3 linked regions of the Oryctolagus cuniculus genome follow. The protein of the gene in region 2 interacts with the protein of the main gene of each other region in a biochemical or structural test. Links are inferred from orthologs where the notes say so. Each region holds a gene or a part of one and is shown on either strand. Other genes may lie near its edges.

Region 1 (2,848 bases), on a different chromosome or scaffold from region 2:
CCCATCGAGTGTGTGGGGGATGAGAGGTGCTGGAAGCTGCCCAGGCCGTGGCTGGGCAGTGGCAGTGCCCCAGGGAGCTGTAAATGTTTAACTACAGTTACTTTTTCTGTGAGATCTTTCTACCTGATTCCAGGGAGCGATCACTAGGCTGTTGGAGACTGAACCAGGACCTGAGGGGTCAGTCTTCCGTCCCCTGCCCACGAGAACACACTTTAGCGTCACTGCCTTTTGCCACCCCGAGAGAGGGGTGGATGAGGGGTAGGGGACAGCAGCCTCCATTCTTTTTTTCGCGGGTACCTGCGTGTCCAGGTAGGATCTGGAGAGGATGTCCACTCAGGCGGGTCACTGACCTTGCTGCGTCCTCTGCCCTGGTGACAGGAAGCCACAAAGCCAGGCAGCTGGCACCCCTGCCTCCCACTGGGAGAGGCCCTTCTGAATCCTCCCCTGGCCTCACCCCACAAGGCTTTGTCCGCCAGCTCCTAAGGCACGGAGAGTCGCAGTCCTTGTTTCCAGCGCTTTTATTGGCTGCTGCTGACTGTGGTGTGCGCACGCCTCTAGTACGCTCCCAGCTGGGAGCGGGCCCTCTACAAGCGGCTGGGCTGGGGTGGGCTTGCTTAGTGGTTGACCCTTGGCTGGGGAGGGAGGGTGGGCTGCAGCAGTGGCACCCCACACACAGCCAGCAGTCTCCCCATGCTTGGCTCTTCGCTGTAATGGAGCTGCCTCCTCCATGCCCCCTGCTTCTACCCCCTCAGCGCTGGGGTCCTCCTTGCTGAGTTGTGTTGATCAGAAAAGCATCAGATTCTGAGAGCACAAGCCCCATGGTGGGCCCTGGAGTGGGGGGACACCTGGCTTCTGCACTGAATTCACTGGAGGGAAAAGAGAGGCCGCTGAGGAGACCTCAGGCTGGGAGGGGCGACGCCGCAGCCAGGCGCTGTGCCCTGGGCTCCCTCCCTCGGGCCCGCCCTCACCAGCCTGCCACTGCCAACATCGACAGCCCCGGCGAATGTCACCCCCTTGCTTGCCCGCTGCTCCTGGGAGCCGGTGCTGCTGCCACTCAGAGAGTTCCTCCGCAAGATGCCTGAGGGCAGGGCGGGGGAGGGAGAGCACTGCGTGAGGGAGGGGGCTAGTCCCCCCAACCAGGGGCAGACCCCCAGGGCCTGAACGAAGAGCGAGCCGCAGGGAAGGAGTCTCAGGAGAAAGGTGGAAGCTGGGCGGCCGCCGTCTCACCAGGGCCCAGGGGCTCGGAGCGCTGCAGGCTGTTGCGGCGGGAGGTGGGGAAGCTGCCCTTGGACAGGCGGCGCTGGCGGCTGGACAGCATGGCGGCCGGAGCCACGATGCCCGGCGGGGGCTGCTTCCCGAGCCGGCTGTACAAGTCCTCAATCTCCTTTTTCTGTACCGTCTGTAGTGCCTCCACCTCGGCCAAGTGCCTGAGGACGCAGCAAGGGGGCATGAGAGGGCTGGCCACACCCTGCTTGCCCAAGGTCGCGCCTCCATCCTCCCGGGAGAGACTCACTTCTGCCGGAGACTCTGCAGCTCGGCCCAGAACTCCTCGTCCTCCCCGCTGCTCTCCGACTCCTCGCTGCTCGGACACAGGCTGCTGTAGGAGCAGTTCATCCACACCGGGCTGGCGTAGCTCAGGGCTGGGGGGCTACCACCAACTCGGGGTTCCTTCCCAAGGTCCCCTTCCTCAGCTCCAGCCCCCAGGCCCTCGGTGGCGCGGTCGCTCTCTGCCAGCGCCTCCCTGGTCTCTGGCCCGCCTGCAGCACTGTCCTCCGTGTCGGAGCTCTCTGAGGTCAGCTGGGGGGTCGGAAGCTGCAGAGGACTGGAGAGAGCTGGGGGGGTGGGTTGCGGCTCAGCTGGTTCTTTGGAGGAAGTCACTTGGAAGCGCCCGACAAGCTGGGGTTTTGCCTCTGCAGGTAGACAGGGCGGGAGGGAGGGAGAGCAGTCAGTGGCGACACAGAGTGGGGTGGGGATGATGGGCAGGGGCAAGTCCGTGGTTGGCGAGGTCTCACCTTCCGAGATGGGCGCCAGTCTCGCTTCACCCAGGAGTGGCCGAGCAGGATTTGGGCAGGCCTGAACAGTGCGGGGCCGTGAGGAAGGAAGCGGTCCAGAATGGAGCCTCCCTCACCCGCCCCCGTGTCCCTACTCACCTCACTCTCTGCCTCTGCCTCTGCAGGGCCCTCCTGGCCATGAGGAGCAGGGGGGAGAGAAGGAGGGGCAGAGGGCAGACTAGGTAAGGGACACGGCAGGGCAGAGGGAGACTGGGACAGGAGGCTGGGTGAGGGGGACAGCAGAGACTGGGCCACAGTCATCACAGCCAGGGAGAAGGCACTTGCCAGAGAGAGGAGGGGGGCGGCAGTAGGGGGGGCCAGGGGAGGCGGGGAGGGGCTGGGAGGGAAGGAATCAGGATTAGAAGTGACTTGGGAGCCACTGGGAGAGAATGGGAGTGCAGCACCAGGTGGGAGGGAGCTCTGGGGAAGTGGGGAGGATGGGGTGGGAAACAGGGGCGCACTGGAGGAAAACGGGAGTGGAGAGCTGGGGGGCTGTGGAGCGGGGCTCGGGGAGACCTGAGAGGCGATGGGGGAGAACAGGGAGAGGCCGGGCTGGCAGAGGGCAGAAGTAATGGGGAAGATGGGACCTGGGAAAATGGGGGTGCCAGGAGACAAGGGGGTGCCAGGAGACAAGGGGGTGTCAGGGGCTGGGAAGGTGGAGAAGGCTGCCCAGCTCCTCTGCTCCGGGGAGGTGCCACTCGGGGGCTCTGCGGAGGAGGAGGGCGTGTTGAGATTCCAGTTAGTTCCCAGGCCCCACGCCCTTCCCAGGAGCACCCCAGGGGCTGGGCTGAGCAGGG
Region 2 (3,500 bases):
ACACTTTCGACCTGCAGCTAGCAGAGTGGTGGATGCAGAACCCGCAGACAGGGGGGGACCGTGTGTGTGAACCCAGAAGTTAAGATGGGAAGAGTCCTAACGCAGGAACCAGGATGTGGCATTCAAGTTCCAAGTCGTGACTAGGATGTGTGTGACCTCAAAGACAAAAGTCGCTGATCTCCAGCGTTCTGTGACTGCTTAATTCATAAAGTTACACACTTTGATATTCTTCTTACTCATTTGCTCCCTTGCCATTCAATCTGTCTAGTATTGACAAATAAGTTATTTCAAGTTTTGGTCTTCCTACTAAAACAGCTTCCTAACATGAAAATATGTACAACTGCTAGACACTGAATGTAAGTTTGCTATATGTATTTCTTTTGCTATTAACACTGTAAATGTTAACATTTAGATCTATTTGTTCATGCATTTTACATGCAAATTGGAAAGAAACCTCTCTACTAGTCTATCAATCCAGCTGGACAGAATTCACAGTACAAATTTAATAATCATAAGAAATTAGCCAGGAGACAGCTGTCCTGTCAGGACATACTGTGCACTAAGAAGACAGCAACCGTCCACTCATCCCCAGCCTGGCCTGGGCAGGGGCTTCTGCACGCTTTCTTTTTTGAAGTCTGTACTCATTTCTTCTGAATAAGCACCAAAAATTCTCCATGCTTACCAGCATGTGATTCTTGGACTTCCCCCACTGGCTCACCATGTCAGACACAAAACAAAGTCAAGTTTATCTCATACTTTACCTCTTTTCCGGATCTTTTTGAAGGCACAATGAAATCATTTTTCTAAATGATTTTCCATATTTTTTCAGCATTTCTTTATCTTGAACACCAGTTTCCAAAGACGGAGGATCATTCTGCAGCGTCAGCATTAAAACCTGTAAGAATTTACAATACAGTATAAAGTTCCAGCGACTCAATAAAGTTTAATTAACAACTGTGGACAAGAGTTTTCAAAACAGGCGATCACCACCACAGACAAGCAGATCCGATTTTCTAAAAGTTCACATCTAGGTGAGTCATTTAAATCCAGAGTTATTTATGTGTCTTCCTATATAAATAAAATATTACAGATAACTGGCGTCCCAGACCACCTTTTTTTTTTTTTTTTAAGATTTATTTATTTGAAAGTCAGAGTTACACAGAGAGAAGGAGAGGCAGAGAGAGAGAGATAGAAGTCTTCCACCTGCTTGTTCATTCCCCAATTAGCTGCAATGGCTGGAGCTGCGCCGACCCGAAGTCAGGAGCCAGGCACTTCCTCCGGGTGTCCCACATGGGTGCAGGGGCCCAAGGACTTGGGCCATCTTCTACTGCCTTCCCAGGCCACAGCAGAGAGCGGGATCAGAAGTGGAGCAGCCCATATGGGACGCCAGCACTGTAGGTGCCAGCTTTACCGGCTACTGCCAAAGCACCGCCCCCCCACTAGCTGTAGGGGCCCACTGTATCAACACTGCTAATGTCCTTGAGTTGGATTCTTTCTTTGTATCCTCAATAAATTCCTATTCTACCAAATCACCTAAAAACACACTAAAACCAGAGCAAGACTAGGAGCACGAGCCCGCCGATCGTGCCTGTCAGGGCCCTGTTTTCACTCCGCGTCTGTGAGATGGTCTTCTTTTCCTATTATTCAGGACCCCTAACAGAAATCACCGGGCCGGCGCTGCGGTACAGCAGGTTAAGCTGCCATCCATCACACGGGCATCCCACAGGGGCGCCGGTTTCAGTCCTGGCTGCTCCACTTCCGATCCAGCTCCCTGCTGTGGCCTGGGAAGGCAGCGGAAGATGGCCCAAGTCCTCGGGCCCTGCACCTTAACTCCTGGCCACAGCCTGGGCCAGCCCTGGCCAGCGCAACGTTTGCTGAGTGAGCCAGTAACCGGAAGATAATTCGCGCTCTCGCGCTCTCTGCCCCTCCCTCTAATTCTGCCTTTCAAATCAATGAATAAATCTTTAAAAACAAAAATCACAAAGAAGTCCTGGTAAACAAAGCCGCAGACCGCAGGTCCACGATCTTGCTGTGCTCTGCAGCGGGTGACACTCTTGACTCCCCTGTGCACCCTAAGTCTTCCCTCTCTGAGCTTCTGGGCAGCATGACAGCCTGGTGCAGAGACACGAGGCCAGGAGCTCACGTGTGTGCAGCAGGATGTGGTGGTGTGTGTCCTTCGGCGCTGTTATGCTGGGGTGGCTTTTGGGGCTCAGTGGAGCTAAGCAGATCCTTGGGACAGCCACAGCCCACACTGACCCTCCTGGGATGGAGTCCTGTCTCACAGTCTGACCTCTACTTCCAGAACCCTTTCATGATTTAAAAAAAAATCACTCCACAAACTAAGAATATAAAGTAACTACCTCAACTTAATAAAAGGCATATAAGAAAATCTCACAGCAAACATTATACTTAGTGGTGAAATACTGAAAGCTTTTATTCTAATCTGTCACTCTGCATTTCAAATGAACCTCTAAAAAAAAAAAAACTATGAAAACAAATATATTCATCAAAAAGCAGGATAGAAAGTTAACACAAAAGTCACTTGTGGGGCCGGCACTATGGCACAGTGGGTAAAGCCACCGCCTGCAGTGCCAGCATCCCATGTGGGTGCCGGTTCAAGTCATCGCTGCTCTACTCCCAATGCAGCTCTCTGCTGTGGCCTGGGAAAGCAGTGGAGGATGGCCCAAGTCCTTGGGCCCCTGCACCCACGTGGGAGACCCTGAGGAAGCTGCTGGCTCCTGGTTCCTGGATCCTGGATTCCGATCAGTGCAGCTCCGGCTGTTGCCGCCAACTGGGGAGTTAACCAATGGAAGAAAGACCTCCCCCCCCACCTTTCTCTCTGCCTCTCCTTCTCATGTAACTCTAACTTTCAGATAAAAAAAAATCTTTAAAAAAAAAAAAAAAAAAAAACACTTGCATTTCTTTACATTAACAATGAAGAACCTGAAAAGGATTTAGAAAAACAATTCCACTTATGTTAACATCAAAAACAATAAAAAATTCAGGAATTAACTAAAGTACTTGTACACTGAAAACTACAAAATATTCATGAAAGAAATTAAAGATGACAAAAACAAATACAAATATACACTATATTTACAGATTCGAAGACAACATCATTACAATGTCAATACCGTCCAAAGCAGTCTACAGATTCCAAGCAAACTGTACCGAAACCCCAGTGACATTTTTAATAGCAACAGAAAAGCTTATCCTAAAATCTAAATGGAATGTCAAAGGACCCAAACAGTTACAACAATCTTGAAAAGAACACAGCTGGAGGACTGGAACTTTAAAACGTAGTACAGGGGCCAGCACTGTGGTATCCTGGGTAAAGCCACTGCCTGCAGCGCTGGCATCCCATACGGGCACCAGTTTGAGTCCCGGCTGCACCACTTCCCATCCCGCTCTGCTGTGGCCTGGGAAAGCAGCAGAAGACGGCCAAGTCCTTGGGGCCCTGCAGCCACGTGGGAGACCTGGAGGAAGCTCCTGGCTCCTGG
Region 3 (3,500 bases), on a different chromosome or scaffold from region 2:
CAAGCACCTGGGCCATCCTCCACTGCACTCCCTGGCCACAGCAGAGGGCTGGCCTGGAAGAGGGGCAACCGGGACAGAATCCGGCGCCCCGACCGGGACTAGAACCCGGTGTGCCGGCGCCGCTAGGCGGAGGATTAGCCTAGTGAGCCGCGGCGCCGGCTGCAGTATTATTATATATATCATTACCAACATGAAGCTTCAAGAATTTCATTATTGGCACAAATAACTACTCAAGTAAAAGGTAAAAATAGACAAGAAGAGAAATTCACCTATTTGTTGCGGCATGGAAGATACAGGAATTGGTTGTTTGAACTCTCCTTCCAATTTCTACAACAAACAAAAGTGATGACATTCATTCTCAAAAACCATCTCAACAATTAGACAAAGCCAACTGCCACATGTGAAGAGAACATAAATGCTCTTAGTCATAGGCATAATATGATATTATTTGATATATAAATATGCATGCAAATACAGTGCTATGAGAATATTTTAAATTAACAAAGCTTCACTATGGAATGGAAAACCTACCTGAGAACCTGAAAAGCCATAGTCATCCTTTCCTTGAAGACTCTCCAATCCCTGGTCACCCTCTGGTTCCACACTGACATCCTCACTGAGCATTTCATCAGCTTTTTCAATAATTTCTCGCACTTGATCCACAAATGACTCCCTCTCTATTGCTAAAATAAAGTCATTGTTCACCTGTGAAAGAAATGTGATGTCAGTCTGATTAGTGTGACATTTCTTAAGGTTTAAATCATTTAAATACAACTTTCAAAAACTTCTATTTACATATCAATTTTATTATTTACTTAGTGTTAGCTCTTCCCTGTTTAAGAACTTCAGTACCTAGTTAGACATGTCCTAGACAAAATATTTCTAAACCACAAGTTGGGTATGTTAGTTACATTTACATTGGAATAAATATACGACTGACAAGATAAACACAGATTATAAGACACTGCCTATTTGCGCAGAGCAATGGATATTAAGATGAAGTACAAAAGAAAAATTTGGAACACAAATACAGACATACCATAATTGTTGCTATCTCCTCAGGGTTGTCACCATCTAGGTCAAATTTGAAGGTAACCATTTTCCGATTATGAGTCTCTAACTGACATTCTACTACTCGATCTCCTTTATTTGAAACCTAAAAAGGGAAAGGAACTTCATCTCAAAACCATATTCAGGTTTATTACCAAATTTGAGAAAAGTCATCCAGATTAGCAGTTGAATTTAAGCCTCAGGAAGCATGGTGTTATCACTGTTCCTTGGACCACAGTACTTTTGTCTCTTCAACTGGTAACTAGAAAAATCTGAAATGGTATTGGACTTTGAGCTACTCCCTAAAGACTATGGAAGGAATATAAAGATTTCTTTCCTACAAGTTAAAACTCTTTACCCATTTTCTTTTTAGATTTTTGTTTGTTTGAGAGGCAGAGAGAGAGGACAAAAGAGAGAGAGAGAGAGAGAACGAACGAACCTGTCTACTGGCTCTCTTCAAATGCCCACAACAGCTGAAGGACCAATGCTAGGAGCTAGGTACTCAATCCAGGCCTCCTATGTGGGTGGTAGGAACCCAATTACCTGAACCATCACTGTGACCTCTAAAATTCCACTTAGTGCCAAATTCCTTTTTTTTTTAAAGATTTATTTATTTTACTTGAAAGAGTTACACAGGGAGAGGAGAGGCAGAGACAGAGAGAGAGAGAGAGAGAGAGAGAGGTCTTCTACCCAATGGTTCATTCCGCAATTGGCTGCAATGGCTGGAGCTGTGCCGATCCAAAGCCAGGAGCCAAGAATTTCCTCTGGGTCTCCCACGCGGGTGCATGGGCCCAAGGACTTGGACTATCTTCTACTGCTTTCCCAGGCCACAGCAGAGAGCTGGGCAGGAAGTGGAACAGCTGGGTCTCGAACCAGCGTCCATAGGGGATGCCAGCACTTCAGGCCAGGGTGTTAACCTGCTGTGCCACAGCGCCAGGCTGGCAAAATTTGTTTAACAATATGAAGTCCATGAATCAGCAATACTTACATTCAAAATTCTCAATTTTGGGCGTGAAGTCTTTTCATGACGAGATCGACTTCTCACAGATTTTCGATAATGTCGTTTTGTAGTTCTCCCTTCATGCCTTCCACTGGAGGTTGGGACATTCTCATTGCCATCACTCATCCCTGAAGCAACATCTGAATGTGCACTTAAAAAAAAAAAAGCTTTTAATTTCAATATAAGATTTAAAATCTGATATTTATATATATATATTTAAATTTTTAAAAGATTTATTTATTTGAAAGGCAGTTACACACACACACACACACAGAGTGAGAGAGAGAGACAGAGAGACAGAGACAGAGACAGAGAGAGAGAGAGAGAGAGAGAGAGAGAGAGAGAAAGCTCCTTCGTTGCTGGTTCACTCCTCCAATGGCTGTAACAGCCAGGGCTGAACCAGGCTAAAGCCAGGAACCTGGAACTCCATCTGGGTCTTTCACATGGGTACAGGGACTTAAACACTTCAGCTATATTCCACTCCTTTCTCAGGAGCATTAGTAGCAAGGAGCTGGAATAGAAGTGGAGCAGCAGGCCGGCGCCGCGGCTCACTAGGCTAATCCTCCGCCTAGCGGCGCCGGCACACCGGGTTCTACTCCCGGTCGGGGCGCCGGATTCTGTCCCGGTTGCCCCTCTTCCAGGCCAGCTCTCTGCTGTGGCCAGGGAGTGCAGTGGAGGATGGCCCAGGTGCTTGGGCCCTGCACCCCATGGGAGACCAGGAAAAGCACCTGGCTCCTGCCATCGGATCAGCGTGGTGCACCGGCTGCGGCGGCCATTGGAGGGTGAACCAACGGCAAAAAGGAGGAAGACCTTTCTCTCTGTATCTCTCTCTCAACTGTCCACCCTGACTGTCAAAAAAAAAAAAAAAAAAAAAAAAAAAAAAAAAAAAGAAGTGGAGCAGCTGGAACTTCAAACAGCCTGTGCCCATAATGGAATGCCAGCGAAGGTGGCAGCTTAACTTGCTACATGACAATGTCAGTCCCTATTCATTTTTATGTATTTGAAAGAACGAGAGCTAGAGAAAAAAGAAAGAGACAACTTCCATTTGCTGTATCACCCACCAAATGCCTGCGATCTGCTGCCAGGTCAGGCTGAAGCCAAGAGCCAGGAACTCCACCTGTGTCTCCCAGGTGGGTGGCAGGGATTCACAACCTGAATCCCTATCTGTTAACTTCCAGGTGTATTAGCAGGAAGCCAATCAGAAGCAGAGACATGGGACTTGATTGCAGGCGCACCAATATGGGATGCGGATGTACCAACTGGTGGCCTAACCTGCTGTACCACAATGCATACCTCAAAAGTCTGATATTTTGAAGTTTCATACTATTCTACCTACCGGTTGAGGAAGGAGTTTTTAGTTTTACATACCTGTCTATAGAGGAAACCAATGTGGGAGGCTGGGGAGGTTGTGGCTGTGCTACTGGAACTGGTTCTGGAGGAGCAACCTGAG

Evidence for each region.
Region 1: the proteins of OXSR1 (region 2) and WNK4 are reported together in a solved structure, tested with the Homo sapiens proteins (2 studies listed by BioGRID and IntAct, with this or other methods). The link is inferred for Oryctolagus cuniculus from reciprocal best matches to the Homo sapiens genes OXSR1 and WNK4.
Region 3: of the proteins of OXSR1 (region 2) and WNK1, one has a biochemical effect on the other in vitro, tested with the Homo sapiens proteins (2 studies listed by BioGRID and IntAct, with this or other methods). The link is inferred for Oryctolagus cuniculus from reciprocal best matches to the Homo sapiens genes OXSR1 and WNK1.

What each region holds. Positions count from the first base shown.
Region 1 is NC_091448.1:20,117,047-20,119,894, forward strand, and holds the end of WNK4 (serine/threonine-protein kinase WNK4), read right to left. Parts: intron 2,759-2,848; coding exon 2,151-2,758; intron 2,074-2,150; coding exon 2,013-2,073; intron 1,911-2,012; coding exon 1,514-1,910; intron 1,428-1,513; coding exon 1,228-1,427; intron 1,079-1,227; coding exon 864-1,078; 3' UTR 501-863; downstream 1-500. UniProt on the Homo sapiens protein: Serine/threonine-protein kinase component of the WNK4-SPAK/OSR1 kinase cascade, which acts as a key regulator of ion transport in the distal nephron and blood pressure.
Region 2 is NC_091435.1:174,433,305-174,436,804, forward strand, and holds part of OXSR1 (serine/threonine-protein kinase OSR1), read right to left. Parts: intron 896-3,500; coding exon 762-895; intron 1-761. UniProt on the Homo sapiens protein: Effector serine/threonine-protein kinase component of the WNK-SPAK/OSR1 kinase cascade, which is involved in various processes, such as ion transport, response to hypertonic stress and blood pressure.
Region 3 is NC_091440.1:98,701,308-98,704,807, reverse strand, and holds part of WNK1 (serine/threonine-protein kinase WNK1), read right to left. Parts: coding exon 3,419-3,500; intron 2,202-3,418; coding exon 2,039-2,201; intron 1,157-2,038; coding exon 1,040-1,156; intron 706-1,039; coding exon 532-705; intron 328-531; coding exon 270-327; intron 1-269. UniProt on the Homo sapiens protein: Serine/threonine-protein kinase component of the WNK1-SPAK/OSR1 kinase cascade, which acts as a key regulator of blood pressure and regulatory volume increase by promoting ion influx.